2 linked regions of the Arabidopsis thaliana genome follow. The protein of the gene in region 2 interacts with the protein of the main gene of each other region in a pairwise test. Each region holds a gene or a part of one and is shown on either strand. Other genes may lie near its edges. The genes, in order: AT1G65000 and FBA8.

The links.
Region 1: the proteins of FBA8 (region 2) and AT1G65000 interact in a two-hybrid assay, tested with the Arabidopsis thaliana proteins (one large-scale study listed by BioGRID).

The regions. Positions count from the first base shown.
Region 1 is NC_003070.9:24,141,316-24,153,119, reverse strand, and holds AT1G65000 (F-box only protein), read right to left. Parts: upstream 6,196-11,804; 5' UTR 5,965-6,195; coding exon 5,834-5,964; intron 4,868-5,833; coding exon 4,747-4,867; 3' UTR 4,319-4,746; downstream 1-4,318. Other genes in the region: AT1G65010 (WEB family protein (DUF827)), read right to left, coding at 1-2,920, 3,021-3,216, 3,561-3,577; GTG1 (GPCR-type G protein 1), read left to right, coding at 7,254-7,468, 7,965-8,065, 8,451-8,558, 9,079-9,199, 9,668-9,797, 10,306-10,384, 10,994-11,082, 11,253-11,345 and 2 more.
Region 2 is NC_003074.8:19,622,645-19,635,040, forward strand, and holds FBA8 (Aldolase superfamily protein), read right to left. Parts: upstream 6,561-12,396; 5' UTR 6,231-6,560; coding exon 6,203-6,230; intron 5,881-6,202; coding exon 5,653-5,880; intron 5,560-5,652; coding exon 4,739-5,559; 3' UTR 4,104-4,738; downstream 1-4,103. Other genes in the region: AT3G52920 (transcriptional activator (DUF662)), read left to right, coding at 1,957-2,184, 2,671-2,781, 3,014-3,094, 3,215-3,337; FK (Ergosterol biosynthesis ERG4/ERG24 family), read right to left, coding at 7,725-7,878, 8,071-8,145, 8,290-8,409, 8,486-8,562, 8,710-8,791, 8,883-8,929, 9,017-9,137, 9,285-9,332 and 5 more; AT3G52941 (Putative membrane lipoprotein), read right to left, coding at 10,686-10,829; AT3G52950 (CBS / octicosapeptide/Phox/Bemp1 (PB1) domains-containing protein), read left to right, coding at 12,222-12,396.

The sequences.
Region 1 (11,804 bases), on a different chromosome or scaffold from region 2:
CCTGCAGCTCCTTTTCTTTGTGAATCAAACTTTGTTTCAGATCTGACAGCTCGTCTATCGTCTTTAGTGTTGAAACCTGCTTGGACTTCAGTTCCTCATTTTCGCAGACAACAGCCTGTAACTCATTCTCTTTAATGAGCAAACTTGCATTAAAATTTGATAACTCTTCTATCTTCTTTTGGGCTAGAGAGTCCTTGGATCTAAGGTCCTCAATCTCCACGACCATACCATGCAGCTCATTTTCTTTGTTAAGAAGATCCTCTTGCACCTTTGACAACTCCTCAATCTTCTTAAGATAAGCAGTCTCCCTTTCTTTGAGCTCCTCTTTTTCATGATTAGAAATCTGGAGTTTGGTTTCTTGATCAGATAAGATTTCATGCAACTTTGACAACTCCTCAATCTTTTTAAGATAAGCAGTCTCTCTTTCTCTCAATTCCTCATTTTCCTGAACAACTGTTTGCAATTTGCTCGCTTTATCGACTAAGCTTTCATTCAATTCTGACAACTCCTCTGCCTTCTTAAGTAATGTAGTCTCTCTTTCTCTGAGCTCCTTATTTTCTTCAGATATGTTCTGCAGATTGGTTACGTTATCAGCCAAGGTCCCATTTGCCGTTGACAATTCGTCAATCTTCTTAAGATAAGCAACCTCCCTTTCTCTGAGATCCTTACTTTCTTCAGCAATGTTTTGCATATTGGCTACATTATCAACCAAGTTCTCATTTTCCTTTGACAACTCTTCAATCTTCTTCAAATGAGAAGCCTCCCTTCCTCTGAGCTCCTCAGCCTCTTGATCAATGTGCTGCAGTTTGGTCTCTTTATCAACCAAGCTCTCATTTGCCACTGACAACTCCTCGATCTTCTTAAGATACGCAACCTCCCTTTCTTTGAGATCCTTACTTTCTTGAACAATGCTTTGCAGATCCGTTACGTTATCAGCCAGACTCTCATTTGCTACTGATAACTCCTCAATCTTCTTAAGATAACCAGCTTCCTTTTCTTTGAGATCTTCACTTTCTTGAACAATGCTCTGTAATTTGGTTGCTTCATCAACCAAGCTTGCATTCGCCGTTGACAACTCCTCAATCTGCTTCATATGAGCAGCCTCCCTTCCTTTCAGCTCCTCAGCTTCTTGAGTAATGCTCTGCAGCTTGGTTTCTTTATCAACCAAGCTTTCCTTTACCTTTGACAACTCCTCGATTTTCTCAAGTACAGAACCTTCCCATTCTCTGAGGCTGCTGATTTCTGCCGTGACATTCTTTAGGTCTTCTTCTTTGTCCAACAAGCTCTCTTTCAGTTTCATGCTTTCAGCTTTTGCTTCTCCAAGTGTTTCCTGCAGATACTTTACCTCCCCCTCAGCTACTTTGAGATTATTTTTAAGACTGGCTTCTTCTTCCTTTCTCGCACATGCATCTTCTTCGCTTTCTTTGAGTAAATTCACAAGCCTGCTTACTTCTTCCTGCGAAGACGAATTTTCTTCTTCTGATTTCTTCACACAACCCATCAGATGAAGTTCTTTCTGTTCCCACCCAGCCTTAGAGTTCTCAAACTCGTTCTGGATACTATCTACAGTACTTTTTAGACTATCTATTTCATTTCTAGCATCCTCAAGCATTTTCTCATACTTTTCGTTTGTCTCCTTTGAAGCCAACTTCAAACTGTCAACCTGGGATTCACAGTTCTTGAGCTCCTCTTGACATACCAACAACGTCGCCTTCGCTTCACTTGATTCAGTAGAAGCTTCCTGCAAAGCCAACGTCAAGCTCTCCATATCTTTCTTGCTCTTCTCTTCTTCCACCTTACATCGTTCCAACTCTATCGAAAGTTCTGTCCTTTGATCCAATAGATTCTGAATATTTGATGTTGCAGCCTTTTCATTGTCCAAGGCCCTAGTTTTTTCCTCTTGGGAGATTTCAAGCTCAGATTTTATTGATTCAACAAGATTTTCCAGCTTAGAAGCTTCTTCTTTTGCAATGCAAACCTGGCGTCCATATTCCTCAAGATCCGTTCTCTGTGCTTCGATTGTTTTCTCTAGCAACTCAATCTTTTCCTTTTGTGCAGCATTATCTGACTTTGTCTCATGCAGCACATGATTTAATTCAGCAAGCTGTTTCATAACTGATTCCATAGACTCCGAAGCAGATGACTTCGATCTATTTGATTCTTCAACTTCTTTTTCAAGTTCATGAACCTTGTTCTTCCATTCTTCTACTGAGCTATTAGTGCAAGATTCAGCCATTTTAGCAGCTTCAAGATCAACTTTAAGCTGTTCAACTAATCCTTCTTGCTCTTTCAGACTACTCTCAAGGATACTAACTTTTTCAAGCTCCCCTCTCAACAATTCAATCTCAGACTTCAGTTTAGACACTATCTCATTACCTTCAATAGCTTCCTTTTCTTCCTTTGAACCGAGCAATGCCTTTAACCGCCCTAATTCAGAAGCAAGAATCTCAGCTTTCTCAGCATGAATTTCAGCAATCTTCGTCGCTTCCTCAGCATGGCTAAGCGCCTTGTTTTTAGCATCAGCGGTCATAGACAATTCATGTTTTACCCTCTGGAGTTCTTCTGTGGTGGAGAGGAGAGCTGAGATATCCAACGCATGCTGACTTCTAATAGACTCTAGCTCGTTCTTTGAAGTTACGTCCTTTTTCTGAACAGCTTCAAGTCCAGCCTGTTCCAGTTCAACAGCTCGGAATTTCTCAACCTCGAAACTCTCCTCAGCTCGTTTCTGTGCTGCCAATGCTTCTTTAAGTTTCTCATTGGCTTCTTCAACAAGTTTTTCGGATTCTTTAAGATCATCTATAGCTTTAGCTTTATCTTTCTTGAGCAATTCTATTTGCTCATCAGCTTTCTTTAAATCCTCCTGAATTTGATTCAGTTGTGTCTGCAGCTCCGTTCCTTTTACCAACCGCGAATGCACTTTCTGAAAATGTCAAAGAATATGGTCATCATCAATGTCTTTTAAAGCTAATGAAAACCAAAAAAAGATTCATATATCAGTTGGAGAGAGTTCAGTATCTTGCCTCGGGTGTAGGAATCCTAGAAGGTCGACGGTCAGGAGTAGGCTTTGAGTTAACGGTTGGAGGAGAACGGTCAAGCGAAAGACGAGTATTTGGCACCGGGGAAGCCGAATTGCTATCGGATTTAGAAGCAGAGAGTTTACTCAGTCTAGGAGGTGGTGGTGATGGTTTACTACGAGGAGTCTCCATCAAACCAGTTCTACAGTAAACATGAATCAAGACAATGTTACACTAAACATCAATAAAAAAAAGTTTTAAATTTGTGGATCTAACATTATTTTACCAAAACAAGAGTAATTAAGTTGCTAAAAATCATAACTTTTCACCTGACTAAATCAACTAAGTTCCCAAAAGTCAAAACATTTACTAGACTCAAATCAATTCAGTTACATTTACTAGACTAAATCAACTACATTCCAATCAAATTAGGATTAAAATGATCAACTCAACAATTCATCACAAGAAACAGATCCAACTGTCAAAATCAAGAATCATATCAGATCCACTTGTAATGAAAGTAGAAGAAAGACTAAAAGTACTCACTTGGTTCTAGATGCCATTGTTGTTGCAAGAGAAGAGCTTCAAAGAAAAGAGAAATTGAATTGACAAAAAAAGAGTAATAAATGCAGCTAAATCCTCAGCATTGCTGCGAGAAGTCAGATCGATTTCATGGTCTTCTTCTTCTTCTTCTTACAGGACTACAACAGCACAAAGTCTTGAACTTACGATTAAGGGTCTTGTTAGAAGAACACAAAGTCTTGAACTTTAGGCAAAAGAATGGTAGGAGAGACTAATAATGAGTAATGGGTTGCGCTGTCTCCATAGTGGTCACCCTCTCTCTCTCCTTTCTTTCTCACCGCTTTTGCTTTTTTTTTTTTTGGGGAGTAATATATTATGATGACAAAAGAAAAAAGAAGAATAATAAAAGCTGTGAGTGAAGTGGACCAAAACAAGTTGGCTTTATTTAATAATGGAGGTGAGAATAAATCTCTCTAACGATCTGATTTAAGACCAGAGAGTTTGAGATCTTGGAGTTGTGTCATGTGGACTTCATGTGCTCTACTCAATCATGTTGATTTTTTTTTTCTCTTAATGAGATCTGCTAAACTTAGTTTAAACTTTAAAGACAGTCAATTTATTAATATAATTATAATTTGTCCACATTCAAATGTTTTCTCTACCTTTGTTTGGATATCTATTGTTGACACAAAATAAGAAATTATAAGTGCATCAGAAATCTTGGTGTTCATAGAAAAGAGGGATGATAGTGCAAGATTATTTCTCATAAGTACTGTCTCAAGATTACTTCTAGATCTTCTGAAATTTGTTTTGTAAATTTTTCCACATTTACTTGCATTAGTTAATTAACCTATATGTCTGATTTAGATTTTTGTTGTTGGTGTTCATAAAAAGAATATAAAGTTTTGACTCTTTTTAAAGCAACCATAGAAACAAGAACATTCCTTACAAATAAACATAAAATCGTTAGTCGTTCCGGAATTTTCTCACGTCAAATGATTCTGACACTCCTATTCACAAAACCGACAAAAGCTGTAACACAACAGCTCACTCTGTAGCTGTGTGCAATGCAAGAAGTGGTTCAAGACAGTACCCAGCAGAGAGATCACAAGCTAAGTCTTTTACTCCTAAGAAGGCTACAATAATTTAAGATTATTTACATGATGTTTTTATGGAAAAAAAAAGGCTTATGAGAGCTCTCACTCATACATCAGTCATCATATGAAATGTGAGGGTTTGTGACACAACCTGGTGCATTAGGATCCTCTGCCCCGCAACAATCATAGAACTTGGCAGCATACGGTGGATCATCTGGTTTCAATTCATAGTACCTTCATTTATTGATTAAAAAAAACAAGTTCTAGTTAATTCCACTTCTTAGTAAAAAGTAGAAATCAAACAGATGCATCATACTCAAGTCGATTAAACATGGTTTGGAATAAATATATATTCAGTTTCGAAACACCTTAAAATTAAAATGAAATAACAAATATCAGGTACCAGCAAGAATATGAATGCCAAAACCAACAACCATAAACACCAAAATAAACTCATTCGTTGCACATAACGATAAAAGCTCAACAAAAGATAGTTAAGTCTATGCTATGTGGGTAACTACAATGCATGGAACAGAGAGAATCACAAACAGAGGAAGTAAGTAAATAACCAAAGGAGCCAATAACGGAACAGAGACACCTACGTTCCTTCCTAGTCCAAAGTTTATTACCAAGATAAAACACGCAACATAGAATCAGATGATAAATCTCTAAACTGTATTTTTCACCACTCTTTATTTATGCTATTAACCGTCGACTAAACCATTTTTTCAACTAGCAGAACAAAGTGTAGGCCACTAGACAGCTTGAAAACTTGTCGAGATAATTTTTTATCCTCAGTGGTTAAGAGTATTCGACGTTTAAGAGTGACCACAATCATTAAACAGCTTCATGATTATGCCTAAAGAGTTTGAAATGGGCAAGGCAAATACAACAGTAGCTAATTATCTGCAAAGAAGGCTAAGAGCTAGTTTCAAATCAACCAAAACATGACCTTTGACCCACAAATAGCCATTAAACTGAGATCATGATCATCTATCACTTCAAAATTATTGGCTACAAAGAATCTAAGGTATCTAACTAAATTAGCTATAGATCCAGAACCTTAATACAATAAAGTGGATGGCTTTCAAAACCCATCTCAACAATTTGTGCTTTGCCATTATAAATTAGCGAATCAAGCTGCTTGGGATGTGAGATTCTTCATTAGTGAATAGATTTAGGGTTTGTAGGAGACATAACCTTTTCTGGTCATCGTGACGACGACAAACGAAGAAGGAAGGATGAAAACGGCAAGAGGAAGTTTCGTTTGAAAGATCTGTGTAGCTTTGTTTGCACCTTTGGCACAACTTCTCCATCTCCTTCTTCTCCATTCTCGAAGAACACTGTAATCAATTTCCTAATTTCTACGGCAAGTCAAATGGATCCGATTCCGGTTCACCGGAAGTTTGGTATTGCCTTTCGATTCCGGTAGATTAAATCAGTAATCTACGTTTTAGCAAAGATGAGCTGTTTTTGCTGTATTGACTTATGGGCCTTAATGGGCTTATTGGGTTTAGTTTTTATTTTTATTTTTATAACTTGGCCTCATTTTTCTGATAGTGAAATGTAGGATTGAAAAGCATAAAAACATTATAAACAAAATAGCTCAAAACTTTTTTTTGTTAAATAATTGTGATATAATAAGAAAAACGTTTTGTAGTTTTTTTAATTTTGAATTATTTTTTCCACATGCATCAAATATAACATACACATGAAAATCAAATATAAATGTATGATAAATATTGTGAATGGTAAAAATAATAGAATCACGTTATGAAAAATGGTATATTATACATCATCGATTGGTGTCTGATAAGTTTGGAGGAAACTTTAGCAATAATACAGGTTTTCTCTATTTATTCATTAGCTAATAGGATTATTTATACAAAAATCATAACTTGATTAGCAAGTTCTTTACATTTATGATAATATTAAATTTTCTATCTAACAATAAGAAAATGTACACAAATATTAATTTTTTATTAATGATAAAAAAAATATTTATCTTGATCCCGTAATTATAAGATTTATCATGAACTATCGATATCCCGATCTTTCCCTTCCCACTTCCCGCAAATTTATATATGGTAACACGTGTAAGATTGGACAAGCCTTCTAAACAACAATTTTAATGAATCGATCATTTTTCGTGTATATATGTAAAAGTGAAAGAAAAACAAAAAAATCAATCGACCAGATAAGAAAACATGTCGGAAAATGGAGTTAAAATTATCATCAACACTAGACTAGACGCCAAAACCTATAAACAAAAAAAAAGGATAGAAACACTATTGTTGTGCAGTTTCTTTCACATTACTCCGTAGCTCAATGGTTGGTTAGCGTTTAATAACGCCTTCCTCTCTGCGAGTTCGAGTTGAGTCGCATGGTGGTGGTGGTGATGATGAAGTTGATGAGGTTGTTGTTGATTAGAGTTTAAACCAAATAAACCCTAACCAAAAATAAATAAGGTATTCTTAAATACTTTTTTTTTAATTGTTTCATAAATGATCAAATTCGAATCGAATCGTACAACAGAAGCTCTGGTGTTGAATCGCCATGAGGTTTTTGCAGATCTGAGGTTTTTTCTCGAGAAGTAAGAGAGATCTGGAATTTGGCGACGATGAGTTACGGATGGGCGATATACGAAGGCACGGTGGTGATAGCTTCACTAAGTCTCTTAGGATGGGCAGGTTTATGGTTTCTTAATCGGAGATTATACAAAGAGTATGAAGAGAAACGAGCTTTGGTTCAAATCATTTTCAGTGTCGTCTTCGCTTTCTCTTGTAATCTATTGCAGCTCGTTTTGTTCGAGATCATACCTGTTCTCTCTAGAGAGTAAGTCTTTTCTCGAGTAATCCACTCTGTAGTTTTTGATATTTAGCTAGTTTTGGTGTTTTCTGGCATTGGAGGTTTTTGGAAACTTTACTTATTTGTTGTCTTCTAGATTGTGTTACTTACTTGGTCCTCCTTTGTTTGCAATTGCTTAATTTTGTTGACTTCTTACCTAATTGGCAATGATTTTGAGATTGAGTGTAGATTGATGGAGTTATTGTCTTAAGAATTTTTTTACTTGACAATTTTTTTGGTGTATGTGTAATGTAATCGAGTATATAAACTGTGTGGTAGCTAGCTTCTCTTGTTTATTCCTTTATGTCATGTGGAAATTTGATACTTGATACTAGATGCTTATATCATTGAGCTTTTGAGGTGTTTGTCATTGTACGTAATACTTATATTGGAGGGGGAATTCATGGCATTATGTAGCAATTGTTTAGTTGGAATATTAATTTAGAGTTTTAAGCCTTGGACCGATCTTTTGATGATTTTGCAGGGCAAGGATGATAAACTGGAAGGTGGATCTTTTTTGTTTGATACTTCTTCTGGTTTTCATGTTGCCGTATTACCATTGCTATTTGATGCTTCGTAATAGTGGTAAGCCTTATTTCATATGTGAATTTTCTTTGCTCTTATCACTTCTTGTTTAGAAGGTAATCACTATAATTGGTTAATTCATTGCAAGTTTCTTAGGAGCTCCTGAAACTATTTTTGTTATATAATTGCTACTCAACTGAGATTTCTTTGAGAACACTTCTGTGCAGCTGTGTATAAACAGTCTTTGGCCCATCATTTTGATCTTATATCTTGAAAAATCTTGATCCTTATCTCTGGCTTTGTTGCTTCTTTTATAAACACTCATGAGTTCAATTAGATGGAGATAAATGAATTTGAGAAAGCATCACTTTATTGTTCGCTGCCGCATATTACAGCATTTTGTGTGAACTGTCTGTAATTTTTTCAAGTTAAAATAACATTTCAGGTGTAAGAAGGGAGCGTGCCTCTGTTGGGGCTTTCTTATTCTTGTCAGCATTCCTTTACGCATTCTGGCGTATGGGAGTTCATTTCCCTATGCCTTCAGCAGATAAAGGTATTTATTTCAAACTACTGTAACCATTCCTTTCCTTCCAGCATCGCATCGTTATCTTGCTAGTTGCTACTCATTTTCCTCTTCTAAGTTCATTTATCCCTTGCAGTAGTGATAATTATAAACTTTAAGAACTAAGCTTGGTACCAGTGTTACACCTAATTTAATTTCTGTATAGATGAATATGGCATATTTATCCATTGTTATATGCACCAATATTGATAATACTGACTACTGAATATCTAGATTAGAGGGTATGATGTTGTTTGCAACGAAAGATAATGAGAGCTAGATAAGAGTGTATAGCATTACCGATAATGAGAGCTTGATAAGAGTGTATAGCATTACCTTGCTGAAAAATATCTTCAAAGAAAAAGCTCAAAATGACTAACTATTTATACTTTTCTTGTCTACTTCTGATCAGCACAAGCTTCTGCATCCAAGCATTCTCATTTCTGGGTTTTGGTTTTTGGATTTTATTGTCTGTTGAAGTTGTTGACTTAAAGCTCCTATTTCTTTGAAGGGTTTTTTACCATGCCTCAGCTGGTCAGTAGAATTGGGGTCATTGGTGTGACCTTAATGGCTGTCTTATCAGGATTTGGAGCTGTAAATTTACCCTACAGCTATATATCCCTCTTCATTAGGTACTAATATTCAACTCTATTTCCGTAAGCTACTAGATAGTGTTCTATTCATTATTTCCTTTTTCTAGTTTATATTTAACCAACAATAAGAGTGTTTCCTTATAGGGGAACCATTCAATGGGCTACATGATAAGCATACATAATTAGCACTGAATATATATAGTGCCACCTGCATGTCCTTCGGAGAGAAAGCATAAAAATGTAGAATGAAAGAAGAAAGCTTAGGAAAGAAAAAATGCAGATTTAATGCGACAAATATGCTAAGAAACTCCACAAAATAGGAACTTATATTCCACATTTTGAACTTGAATGAAACAAATGGTGCTGGATGTTCAGTTGGGATATTTTTATAAGCTATTTCCAGAAGCTTGTCATTTCTGTGATTTACATATTGGGTTTTGACTGGATTGGCAGGTTTATATAAAAGATATTTCTTTCTAACAGCACTTTTGTTCCTCTCTCATATAGGGAGATTGAAGAAGCAGATATAATATCTTTGGAAAGGCAACTGATTCAGTCAACTGAGACGTGCATAGCAAAGAAGAAGAAAATTATTTTGTGTCAATTGGAGGTGGAACGAAATCAAGGATCAGAAGAGGTTTGTTTTCGTTTTATCCTCATATGATTGTATTGTCTAATCTCATATTCTTTATGTTTCTGTTCTTGTGTCATAGTTCTTATAAAAGCCTTTGAACAAAGACTATTTCATACTTATGTGTCAAACTGCTCATTGTACTCTGAAGTCTCTGAACTGACTGTATCCTGACACTTTTCTTCGCATTAGTAAACAACCAGAAAAAAAGAATTTATTTATTTATTTATTTATTTATATATTTACATTAGACTGATAAAATAATGATGCTGTAAATGGAACCAAAACTATGGATAATTTATTTAAGACCGGAGAGATTATTGTCGGTCTCGAGCAAACAATCCATGGTCTTGGTTCCTTGCTCAGCTGCACGTCCTTTTCTGAGTGGGTACCTGAGTTCTTATTTTCATTGCTGTTATCTCAAACTTCTGTCTAATAGTTTTTAGTTAAACAATATGCCATATTTTCAGTGATGATTTTGGGAGCTAATAATCTGATGCTTTTTTTCTCCCAGAATCAGAAACGTAGCTCTTTCTTCAGAAGAATTGTTGGGACTGTTGTGCGGTCGGTTCAAGATGACCAAAAGGAACAAGGTCAGTTTATGTGTTCTTGATTTTATTTGTAGTTGTATTCCACAATTTTTATTTTTTTTGGTGTAAAACTGAAATGAGTATACTCTGAATGCTTTACTTTGAGACAATGTGAAAATTGTTTATCATTAATCATAATTCATAAGTGGCTTTGGCTTGAGGAGAATGAGCCTCGTCAGCGGTAGTTGAACAAGAAATTTTGTTAATATGCTTTATTTGTGCATGTGTTCTGTGTCTTGATGGTGCTGTTAGTAACTAGAACAACTACAACAACAAAAGGGAAAATTACTGTCTAAACCAAAAAAGTAATGTTGATGCTTACTACAGGGGAAGGCTTACGTCTATTTTTGTCCATAAATATGTTTAGTTGACCATGAATCTTGTACATATTTATTCACGTAGACCAACTTGAGATCAATTTTTTCCTTGTTTGTTAGAATTAGTATTTTTTATTGAATAGTACCTTAGCACTTTTTGCGAAAATGAACTTTTAGCATTGGATAATTCAGTTTGTTAAATGTTTTCAAGTGTACATGGTGAGAGATTAGTCATTTTATGAATAGATCGTCTGGTGATGTCCCTCCAATTAATTGATAATTTTTCCTTGAGAAGACATAAAAATATTGGAAGCGGAGGTGGAAGCCTTAGAGGAGCTGTCAAAACAGTTATTTTTGGAAGTATATGAGCTGCGTCAAGCAAAGGTTAGCTTTCAGCTGCCTTGGTTTTTGATTCACTAAAGAATTCTACTCATTGACTTGGTGGTGACATCGTACTTTGGTTGAATTTTCTATTGTTGAGATTAGTGCTTCTGACTATCTTCTTTGGTTGTAATATTTTAAAAGCATTTGCTATGACTTCATCCCATTTGCAGGATGCTGCTGCTTATTCTAGAACTTGGAAGGGTCATGTGCAGAACTTACTTGGTTATGCATGTTCCATTTATTGTGTGTATAAAATGTTGAAGGTAAGTTTTTTTATCCTTCTAATGATGATCTAGCTTAAAAGTCTTCTCACTATTGTCGTTTTGAACATGAGTAACTCTTGTTCTCCTTTTTTTTGTGCTCTATTTTTGCAGTCTCTTCAAAGTGTTGTCTTCAAAGAGGTACCCACATGCGCTATTTTTTTTTTGTTAACTTATGTATCACTACCGTTCTTTAATGGGTTATATGTGCACCTCTTACTACTTGAAATTGTTAGTAATCAGCTTGTTTACAGGCCGGTACAAAAGATCCTGTCACGACGATGATCAGCATATTCTTGCGGTTGTTTGATATAGGAGTAGATGCTGCACTCCTCTCACAGGTTTGCGTTACCTTACGTTGCTATCTCTAATGATAGAGTAATTAAGCTAAAGAAATCCAATCTGGACGTTTTTTCTTCTAGACTTGAAAGTATTTCTAGACTTGAAAGCCTAAAGCATTTA
Region 2 (12,396 bases):
AATTATAAATCTTTTAATAAAAATATTATTAGAACAAAAAATAATAATGTTTAATTTTACCGAACTGGATTAAATGGTGGGACATGTTTAAAATATTATAATGTATGGATTTTGTAACAATTAAATAACCATTTGAAATAAAATTTTAAATTAATTTAAATTATATATCTTTTAAATTAAAGTATTATTTAAACAAAAATAACAAAAACAAAATGTTTAATTTCACTAGACGGGGTTAGATGATAGGACGGGTTTGGGTCGACAGTAATACGAGACGGTATAGCACGGGTGAAATCCATTAGATATGTTTAGTTTCACGGAACGGGATTAGATGGTAGGACGGGTTTGAGTCGATAGTAATATGAAACGGTATACCACGTGTGAAGTCGTAGATATAACAATCAAAATATAATTATATTATCTTAAATACTAAACAAAACAATTATAAAATAAAAATATAATTAAATTTTAAATTATTTAGTTATAATCTAGATTTTAACTTAATGAACTGTACGTTATTGTTCTTATATTTTAAACAGTAAAAGTTAAACATAGTAATTGTATACTAAATAATATACAGATATAAGAGTTGTACATTCAGAAAATACAAAATATTAAATCATATATATTTTTAATCGACTAAACAAATTATATTTTTATTCTTAAAAGAACAAAATAGTTCTGCGGTGTACGGTGTACCGCGAGTTAAAACCTAGTGTGTTATATGATGATAATTGAAGAAGCCTGAACGGTGAATCCGATCCTTAAAACTAGACCAGAGTTAGATTGGCACATTGTGACAACACTAACATAAATCATTATACATTATCTCGTTAACTAATTGTTTATTTATGATTACATTCTGTCATCGCATTATTATTGTTATGATGAAGCTGTAAATTAGTCTTGATAGTATCATTAGTATACTAAAAACTATAAAGTATCTACACATTTGGCTTTTACTTTACAGCCGTCATCTTTTTTTGAAAGATGGATATTGGATTCATTTAAAATTCGAGAAAAACGCCAAGTGGCAAGCCAAAAACTTCCAAATGAAAATACTTTAGAAAACACCAAAATTTGCATCTACAATTGAATGATTCACGTTCAAAAGAACCATTAAATGAGTCCTGAAATTGACCGTTACCGTATTAATGTCAAAAGACCAGACGACAAAAATCAATACTTAGAAATTAATTAGAATCTTTCATATTATTAAAAAGAAATCGACGAGAAAAAGTTAAACCTAAATATTAAAGAACCTTTTTTTCAATCTCCTTTGTTTAAGTATTAAAATATACAAAGTTAAACCTAAATATTTGTAACTACTACTAAGCAACTAATAAAACATCAAATTAAATCATAAAATACCCTTTTTCAAATATGTTAAAAAATCAAAACCTCCTTGAATATTCGCATCCAAACCAAGGATTCACATTCAAAAATTCCTCGTATCAATTATCATTCGCATATATATCCAAACAAACCCCCAAATATATAGGATTAGATCAAGGCTAATAATTTGAACCAAACATTTTTTTTTGTATTTTGTTGTATATAAAAAGAGAAAAACAATCTCTAGACGACACGTAATTAAAAGTGTATTGTTTTGAGAAATATTATACGAACTTAACGGATACGTAAAACAAACCATTAAATAATAAACCCAAAAACAGAAAAGAGAGTGAGAAAGCAAACAAAATATAAAAGAGTGAGAAGAAGAGGACAGAGAGAAGAAACCATTACCACACATACAGAGAGAAACAAACCCACTCCATTAAAAACCAAAGCTTTAAGCTTAGATTCAATCCCAAGTCAGTAAAAATAGGGTTAATCGAAGAACCCCACCGGAATTCCACTGAGGAATTGCATCAGTCGCGTTCTTGTTGCGGCTTGAGGAAGAAAAAGAACACCTACACTAACCAAAACAAGAACAAGGACGAATTGAAACCGAAGATGACAACAACGAATGAAGCTACTACACAGCCTCCTCAGCAGATGATGAGCTTGAGTTTTAGTAGTCAGATGTCTAAAGAAGACGAAGAGATGGCTCGTTCTGCTCTCTCTGCTTTTAGGGCTAAAGAAGATGAGATTGAGAAGAGGAAAATGGAAGTTCGTGAAAGGGTTAAGGCTCAGCTTGGTCGTGTTGAGGAAGAGACTCGTCGTCTTGCTAGTATCCGCGAGGTTTGTTTTCATTTTTTGCTTTTTAAAGTCCAAAACTTTAAGATCTGAGAGATTTTGTTTTGAGCTTGGTCTGAAAATTACACTCATGCAAGTTGACTACTTTCTGTGTGTTTGTCTTTTTTCTGAATTGAATTTTGATACTGTTTATGTGGTTTTAGAATATTAGGGTTTTGAAAGATGTGAAATTGTAGATTTGGACTCAGGGGATAGGGAAAATGGGATTTTTTTGTCCTTTTTAAGAAATTTGATGATTTGTGAATGATTTATACAGAAATGGTTTAGCTTTGTAAGCATATGATTTTGCATGTACTCAATTTGGTGAACAAAGAACAAAAATTTGTGTTTTGAGTAAATGGGTTTTGTAAGTCTATTGATATGTGAAAGCTAGGATTTGGACATGAACTTGTGCTTCTTGTAGTTGGGTTTACAAGTTCTGTTATCAGGAAGGTGTTTAACTTTGTAGAAATTATCATGTTTTTGTTTCAGGAGCTTGAGACAATGGCAGATCCCATGAGGAAGGAAGTTAATTGGGTGCGTAAGAAGATTGATAGCGTCAACAAAGAACTCAAACCATTAGGCTCTACTGTTCAAAAGAAGGTAAGTACACTTGTCAAAGAGCAGTTGCTTCATTCTCACTACCTGTTGCTATGAAAAGTTTTGCTCTTTACCAAACCCAAAACTCAAACCTAAATGTCAACTGAATCGATTTGTGGTTGTTATGGTGTTGACTAAAAGATTTGATATCGCATTAGTCAACTTTAAAGATTTGTTTTTCAATGAACAAAACCTGAAACTCATGTTTTTGTTTTATGTGATGATATGACAACAGGAAAGGGAATACAAAGAAGCATTGGATACGTTCAACGAGAAGAATCGTGAGAAAGTTCAGCTGATCACCAAGCTAATGGAGGTTAGTTTCGAGTTGTTGGTTATAGTTTTGCTGAACAATGAGAACAAATCCGAGTTTTACCGCGCTTATTAATAACTGTATTGATTTGTTTTATGTTTGCTTAATATTCTCCCTGGGGAGATGGGACAGTTGGTTGGAGAAAGCGAGAAGCTGAGGTTGAAGAAGCTGGATGAGCTAAGCAGGAGCATAGACACAGAGAGTGAATCTATCTCACAAGACAAGACCATACCAATCAAGAACTAATTTGGTGTATTTTTTCTATTTTATTTTTACGTTTTGGAATGTTTTCTTAGTTTCTGGGTGTTTTAGTTTTCTTTTGCTATGATTTGTGGGTTGATTTGTAAAATTATGATGGGGTTTTTCGTGTTTTTGATTAACCATTATTGTTAGGGAAGGGAAATGGGATAATGCTTCTTCTGCTTAGGCTACTGAATGCTAAAAGGGTTTGTAAGTTTGAATTTTTTTCTTGCTTTGTTTTTTCTAATATTATTTTATTTGTTATATTGTTTAGCTTTATTTTAATTTCTTTTCCCCCCCAAATTATGTTTAGCTTTTTGAGAAAGTAGCCTCTCGCCGTCGAGCGTGTGTGGTGGGTGTTTTGAAATTGAAACGACTTCTTCTTGTCAAAGTAAATCATGACCTTGACCCACACAATAGACTCGATAAATTCCAATTATTGTTTTCAAAGACAAAAATGTAAAATGATATTTTAGTAAAATGGAAAGAAAAACACTTAACAAAATGGGAAAGATATGATATTTGGTTGTAAGATCTTCAAGTATTCCCATTTTCCAAATATTGTTTTCCTAATCTAGCAAATTCCTTATTCTTTGAATTACACTAAATTATTCAATCGAGCTGGTAAGATAGAAATATTCGATCGTACAAAACACAGCAATGTGCTAATCTACAAACTATTTGGTAGACATGATCTGGAAAGCAAATGCTTTTTTATTTATGATATTCAGTGGAGAACCAATTTAGTATACTTTCATACAGTAGGCCCTTTGAGGCCCATCTTACACATAAACAGAATATCATAAATTAGCTGTGTATTCTCATTACAGCATTTGGCAATAAGCTGGCTTTTGGAATGCTTTTGAAGACAATGAAAACACACTACAGTCTTGTTCATATTCTTGTGTCTGCAAATTAATTGAGAAAGTGTATAACTTTCCTATGTTTCTGAATCTTGTTCGAGGCTCCTTTCAGCTTATGGTTGTAGCCTCATATAGCAATTATGCTCTCACATACTAGTCATATTGTTGAAAAAATGAAACAGGAACGCTTGGTTCATACTCTTCATAGACAGATTTTTATGTGTTTAAAAGACGAGATTTCATATACGAATCAGAGAACCAAATACAATAATTTAGGCTCAAGAAGCGGTAAATCAACAGAAACTGATTTTCAAATTCCACAAGAGGTTCAACAGAAATAACCTCAAATGACTTTTTTATTTGGGCGTGTTTTTAAAATACTCAATTCTAAAAAACAAAACCCAATCAAAATCAAAACACAAATCCAAAAGGAAAATGAAGAAAAAACACTTATAATCCGATAATGTCAAGTAGAAAAACGAAAAATCCCTAGAAATATATCCAGGAAGATGACAAACGTCACAATTCAACCCGTGGACGATGCTCAGTACTTGTAATCCTTCACGTGAAGGCTCTCAGCTGCTCCATCACCAAGCTTAGCGTCACCCTTGTAGGTTCCGAGTGTGGCTTCAGAGTTAGCCTTGCACCTCACATACAACGCCTCTTGAGCTGCCTTGACATTCTCCTCTTTACCTGCCCATGTCTTCAAGGTAGACTGCTGCAACGCACGTCCGAATGAGAAAGACAATGACCATGGCTTCTTGGTCTTCAACTGGTTCATGGCGTTCAAGTTCCTGGTAGCTTCTTCCTCGCTCTGTCCTCCAGATAAGAAGACAATGGCTGGAACAGCTGCTGGGACGGTTCTCTGAAGGGCACGGACGGTGTGCTCAGCGATGACTTCAGGTGAAACCTTGGGGCTGTCAGATCCGGGAGTAACCATGTTAGGCTTCAAGAGTGTACCCTCGAGCAAGACGTGGTGGTCGCTAAGAGCCTTGTAGCAAGCTGCAAGGACACGCTCAGTCACGGCAGCACACTTCTGGATGTCATGGGATCCATCGACTAGGATCTCAGGCTCGACAATTGGTACAAGACCGTTCTCTTGGCAGATAACAGCGTATCTAGCTAATCCGTAAGCGTTCTCATGAATGGAATGCTCAGATGGCTCGTTCTCTCCGATCTTGAGGACTGCACGCCACTTGGCGAAACGAGCACCAGCTTCGTAGTACTTCTTGCATCTGTCACCGAGACCGTCAAGACCTTGAGTGGTGGTCTCACCGTCGGTTCCAGCTAGCTCAACGGTACCCTTGTCAACCTTGATACCGGGAAGAACTCCTCCTTCCTTCAAGATATCAACGAAAAGCTTACCTGTACAAAGAAAACATCATCATCAATAAAAAACAATCACAAAACCACATTACAGAGTAAAACATTAAGTAATAGTATTGATCAAGTTCATACCATCGGAACTCTTTTGGTACAGAGTCTCTTCGAAAAGGATGACACCACTGAGGCATGGAAGAGCACCAGGGGCGGTGAAGAGAAGCTCACGGAGGTTACGTCTGTTGGTCTCAACGTTCTCGACGTTGATGCTCGCAAGACGCTTTCCAATGGTACCAGTGGACTCATCAGCAGCCAAAATACCTTTTCCAGGTGTGCCGATGTAGGCAGCGTTGGCGATCAACTCATCTATATAGGTTTCAAAAATGGAAAAACTTAAATCAATCAATCACCATAAGAGAACAACAACAGAAAAAGTTCCAGATCGTGAATACTAATTAGATCCGTATTAAAACCGATGAGAACATAGTTAGATCTACGCTAGTTTTTAACATAGGAATCATCGACTGATTCATTTCAGCTTTCGAAACCAAGCTAAGTTCACGAATCAACTAGATCTATACGATTAAACACGCTAATAAGAATCAAAACACGGGATAACGAATCGAATCCAATACACGAATCTAAACATGAATAAAGAACTTAAGAGAGATAGAGATCGAGATCTTACCGGCGAATTTGCTTGTGAAGGCAGACATAGTTGGACGGAGAGATCGAGAAATCAGAGAGAAATGAAAAGAGATGCGGAAGAAGGCAGACGAGTGGTGGACCAGTAGAGGAAAAGGGTTGGTTTTATAGCTGCGGATGAGAGTCTATTGGTTGGTGAAAATATTAATTAAGGGTCAGATCTTTGCATGTTCCCCAAGAAATAGCTTTTTCAGCCGTTGGATCTCTAATTGGCAATGTTGGCTAATCTTAATTCTACCCCTTAATAGCGTGGATTCTCAGCAAATTAGCTGAGGGGTAATTTGGTAACTCGTAGTGTTATTTAAGGAAAAGCATGACTTCGGCCTTACGACGGCCCAAACCGTCAGACGAATTGTATAATTGAGATCGTAAGATAATAAATTACATTAATCATTGATTATAGTAGTTTTTTAATCGTAATAAACACTTAATAGTTGACTACGAATCTCAATAGAATATTCTTATTGGAAATGTTATGTGTTTCTAGATTCACAGAAAAAGTGCGACTTTGATATCTCCGAACATAGAAAATTAAGATCTTAGATTTAGATAGAGACATATAACCGGAAAACAGCTGCGACTCTTCAAACGCATGAATAATCAAAAACTATCAAAGTCTTTTGCTTTCTACCGACACAGTATGTATGTAGTCTAGAACTTTTTTGTTGCTATTGTTGTTGTATACATTTTGAAGTTTTAAAGGTGTCTTTTAGGATCTTCAATGGTTTTATTGTTTCTTATCTTTTAGGTTCAAGTGATTATAAAATGAAACATCTTATTATTATAACAAATTATGAGATTTTTACACGTATTTTCAACATTTTTTTAATATGTGTATATAATTTTTTAATAAAACCTCGTTGACAAATAAATAAATTTTAAAAAACTCTATGACATACTAAAAATAAAATATGATTATAAATGGAAACAACTGTTACGATATGCCATAATATCTTAAGAAAGAAACTGATATAGAACATACAATATTTAAAAAGAAAATAGGGGAAAAGAAGGAAATATACTAAAAAGACAAAGAATATATGTATATTGACATGTAAATAGAAACACGGATGTGTATGGTCCATTTAAATTGTCTCCAAGTCGATTAAGATGGTACATCTAGAAACTTCGTAATCGTCAATTTCTATTTTTGTGATAATTTTCCATTTTCTCCTATAAACATATCCATCAGCATTATCATTTATCAACACCACTCTGTTCCTCTATTAGTATTTTTCTCAGTTTTACATAAGTACAATATTACTTTATCATGACATTTTACATCAAACAAATGTCTTTTGTAAAATCTCTGGTTTTTAAACAACCCAAAAAATAAAATCCGAAAATGCTGATATCAATGCTAAAATAATAATAAGGACTGAAGTTATTCTCAAACGTGTACTACAAAGTTTCACTCGAGCATTGCTAAAATAAAACAAGATTATGAAAAAATAAGACACAAGAGGATGAATCTGAAAGGATTCATGACTTGGCTCTTGGCACATCTAATAAACATAAGGAAGTATTCTCCAGGGGACAAGTCTAAGATACTCTGCCCATATCTCCTTGTACTTCTCTGCACATCGAACCTCGTCTCTTCGTTCTCTCCATATCAATAGTATCAGAAGGTATATCGGGTAGAAATATGGAACCGGAGAACTGAGAATACACAAGACAAAATATCATAAAAACAGCTTTGGGAAATGAACTTGAAAGCTTTAGACTTTTCAAATGATGGTTAGAGATCAATATCTTTAAGTCAGCCAAATCAACTTCGAACGTTTTGATATTGGTATTAGTTTCTACATGACTTTTGGTAGCTGTAAGATGAACTCAAGCAGAAGAAGTTACCTTATTCCACATGGCAAACTGAAGGACAGAGCAAGCATCAAGTCGCCAAGGTAATTACAGTGCCTTGCAATTCCCCTGTCATATATACAAAACAGCACCTAAGTTATCGGAAATGTGTCATTGCGGAACTTTCAACTCTTTATTCCCAGCATGATGAACAATCAAACACAGAGATGGCGAAACCAAGCAAAGAAACAAGAGAAGATAAATATAACATACCAATAGCCTGAAACCAGTAACTTTCCACCAACTACCACTGGAGGCTTGCCCCATATTGGTGTTTTTGGGTTCTTCTTAAAGATATGTTTTTGTTTGTTAGCTCCTCGAAAAACCATGTACCTGCCAAAGAAGAAATAGTGGGTTTCTTAGTGTAGATATGTAAGAATGGAAAATAACCCAATGTCTCAGAACTTACCCTATCAAGAAGACAAGGCAATTGACTACAATCGCAGGAACTGTTAGTTCTACTTTGTTGTGCAAAAGCCACCAGCCCTGTACCAGAGAGAAGACAATTCAGTCACAGAGTGATCAAGCATTCTAGAACAATATTGTTTCCGAGAATAACTGTAACATGCCAAGAAGATACTGTCAATAAGATAAATTAATATCTTGTTTGTGTTCAGGCTCACAGTTACATGCCTGAATGCTAAAAGTGAAAGGAATCCACAGGAGATCTCCAAACACTAGCATGAAGCCTAGTCTCTCTGCAATTATGTCCCACCTGAAAAGAGTAAAATCAAAGTAGATGTAATAATGCAAATGGTCATTTTTTGGTAAGACAAATGTGTTTCCTTAACACGCCATGAACTTACGTAGAGGTCATGTATTCTTCATGAACAAAGTAGTCCAATATATATAACTGCAATTATAAAACTAATCAAAACTAACAAAACACAGATGATCATAACTTCAAGAAGCAAGATTTGTAAGTAAAAACCAAATTTACCGCACAGAAGATCTGGTAAAGAATCATCGACTGACTCAAGGAACCATCCTGCACACTTTTTGCCAGAATAGAGAGATTGATAAGCAGCCATCCCATCATCCCGGCTCTGACAAAGAAAAACCTACACAAGGAATAACTCCCATTCATCATAACCATGCATAACTGCTGATTACATTATTAAACTGCCACTCGATTGAGTACGGAGCAAACTGAAGCAATGATGTAGCCTTGGCTGACAAATAGAAGAAAAAACAGAAAAATGGATTACTTGAGATCAATGCTCATAAACTGAGGATTCAGCTGTATTCCAAACCACCTATCACATGAAACAAACAATATGAGAAAAAATTGAAGCAGTTGTTTGGAAGAGATAAGTGAAAGACAAAAACCAGAACTTCTAGTTTCAGTAGAAAAGTTCAAAAGCTAAAGTCACTGCGGTTAAAAGGAAAAAAGAGGAAGCTACAACCGTTCTAGGAGAAATTACTCAACACTCTACGAAGTTCTATAGAATCATCTTGTCCAATTCAGTGTTTCAAACTCTATATAGTACCAGATTATTTCTTAGTTTTGCTCTTGCAGGAGTCAAAATATATAACTTTTAACAACATTTTGTGTAACAAGAAAGTATCAGATCTACAATTGTATTATGTTAGTACCAGTCATGTACAAGATTTCCTGAGACATGAGGCTTTAGGGAAGAACCCTTATTCGAGGAACTTCGCCCAGTAACATACAATGCTAATGTCACCTGAGAATATTAAGAGATATCATGGAGATTACAAATCACACCACCAAAAGCAAATCTGATGGTAACACAACTAAAATCAAGACACCGGACTAAGGATTGAATCATCTTACCAAAACACAGAAAATAAAAGTAGCTGAGAGTAACTCAAGTCCTCTATCCGCAACCACCTACAAAACATCTCAGTGGAATGAGTGTGAGAAAGCAATTGCAATCGGATTCATATAGCATATAGCATTCGGATTCATAGAAATACAATCGAAATCTTGTAACTACACTTACAAGAGGTGATACAATGCCAAGTTTTGCACAGATTCCCAAAATAGCTACCAACAATATTAGTGCCAATAGACCTGAAATTGAATTAACAAAACTAATGGAAATGAACTTTCGAGCTCACAGACTCTCAGGAATTGTAGAGAGAGTAAATCAAATCAAATATACCATTGCATCGGTAACGAAGTTGAGAGCCATCTGATAAAAGGACGCCGCGAATAACTTTCCCGGGGAGAATTTCTCCGGCAACGGCCAAGTAAACGAAGTAAAACACCAGCACATAAACCTAAAATCTCGGAACGAATTTAACAAAAGCTGATCAAAAGCGAACAAAAATTTCACAATAACAATTGCAACAGTCAAAAGCTAAAGAGACAGCTCACAGATTGCAATGATGGAAGAAGAACACCGAGATCCATATCTAGCAGCATTAAGCAGAAGAAGGATTTTCAAAGGAGAAGATGAAGCATTCGAAATCGTTTGTATCGCCTTTTCTCGCTTTGTTTAATTTCAGATGACAGAAGCAACAATTTTCAATTTTTTAGTGGGAAGCTCGTGGACTCTGATGAGCTAGCTCACTTGTGTGATTCGGGAAAATTACCAAAAAGAACCCTTAAACTCTTCATTTGTTGCAAGTAAAGCCTTAAACTAATGATTGTTTATACAAAAAAAACCAATCACTAAATTCTGCCAAGCACAACTTGAGCCTATGGCCCATGGGATGGCCTGGCCAGTCTCGCAAACGACTGTCATTTTAAGATAGCTACATCTTTTGGGTTTCTTTTTTAACATCTAAATTTTAGATTGATAGGACAATGTCTTTAGAGAAAAAGGTTAATGAATACTAGTTTCTCGGCAATGCGATTGTTATGTCTTCATGTGTATATCACCTCAACACTGGATAAGAGTTTGAACCAAAGATGGATATATCAAATATCTAGTTTTCCATCTATGTGTTCTCTTTTCTACCATTGATCAAGTCCACGAGTTATTGATGAAAGCCTTTTTCCACTATGGTCCATCTAAAACCGCAGATTCACAATGTATGCAAAGAGTGAAGGAAGCTAAAACCTTAGGCTAAAGCTTTTGTTTACTATTAAGATGCTGCCATTACATAAGGGTGCCGTAATGGTTCCGAATAATCCATCTCGATCTAGTTCTCTCACTTTGGTCGATCGCAAAAGCTTGCATCATGGTTGCATTTGAGCCATCCAAACGGAGGAGGTATCTACTTGGTTCCATTAATCGGTGTTGTTATTTCCACGGATATTTTTGCATTAAACGTCTACCTTAAAGGCTTAAACGTACATAGAAAAATCTGCACCGATCACATTTCACTAAAATATTTTTCTGTCAAATCACATGTTGGATGGTGTAACTGGTAAGTTATTAAAAGAGGGAATTACATGCGAGTCCACTTGTAACAAACAGTTGTGAGGCTCGACGGCAAGTTGACCAGAAACAACTTGCACTGCATCTATACAATTTTTTTTTGCTTTATTATTTGACAATTTTTCCATGTAACCCACACAAATCATATTTATTTGAATTAAAAAAATTTTGTATTTATGTTAGCCATTAACTCTTCTAGATACAAGAGAGAAATGTCATCAAATTTCATTGTTTAAAAAGAAAGGGTGATTTATAGACATTTATCAGAAAAAAAAAAAACATTTTTGCTTTTACGAATTTTATAGAAAGAAATATTAGTATTATATTTAACATTTTTAGTCGTCGATTATAAGAAAGGAGGTGGCGAACCACCACACACGCGGAAACAGGAACAACCAATGAAAACTCGATAAATGGCTTAACTCAATTGTTAAGAGCCGTTTGTTTTTTGGCAACAAAAGTGCTCGAGAGAGAGACCTTGAAGAAGAAAGAAGAAGGTAAACCCTAAATTCCCAATCTTCCCACATAACTTCTGCTCAAATCCTTAGGGTTTCAAGTTGTTTCATTTCCCTCGTCCGTTAAATTCGAATCCTTTTCGTGTATGTTGCATCGTATTCTCAGAGCAAATCGTCTTTATTGTGAATTGGGTTTTATTCAGATTCGTGCTTTAGATGAAATTTCAATAGTTTTTGAATTAAAGGTTGAATTTTTCATTTGCAGAGACGAGTTTGATATCTAAAGGAATCATTTTTGACGGATTTAGGATCTAAGTAAACCCTAGATTGACCGAATATGAGTACTCAAGCGACGGGTCCTTCTTCAACATCAGGGAGGAGAAGCAATTCTACTGTACGGCGAGGACCACCACCTTCTAAGAAACCAGTACAATCAGAGAATGGAAGTGTTAATGGGAACACCTCAAAACCCAATTCACCTCCTCCTCAACCTCAATCTCAAGCTCCTTCTA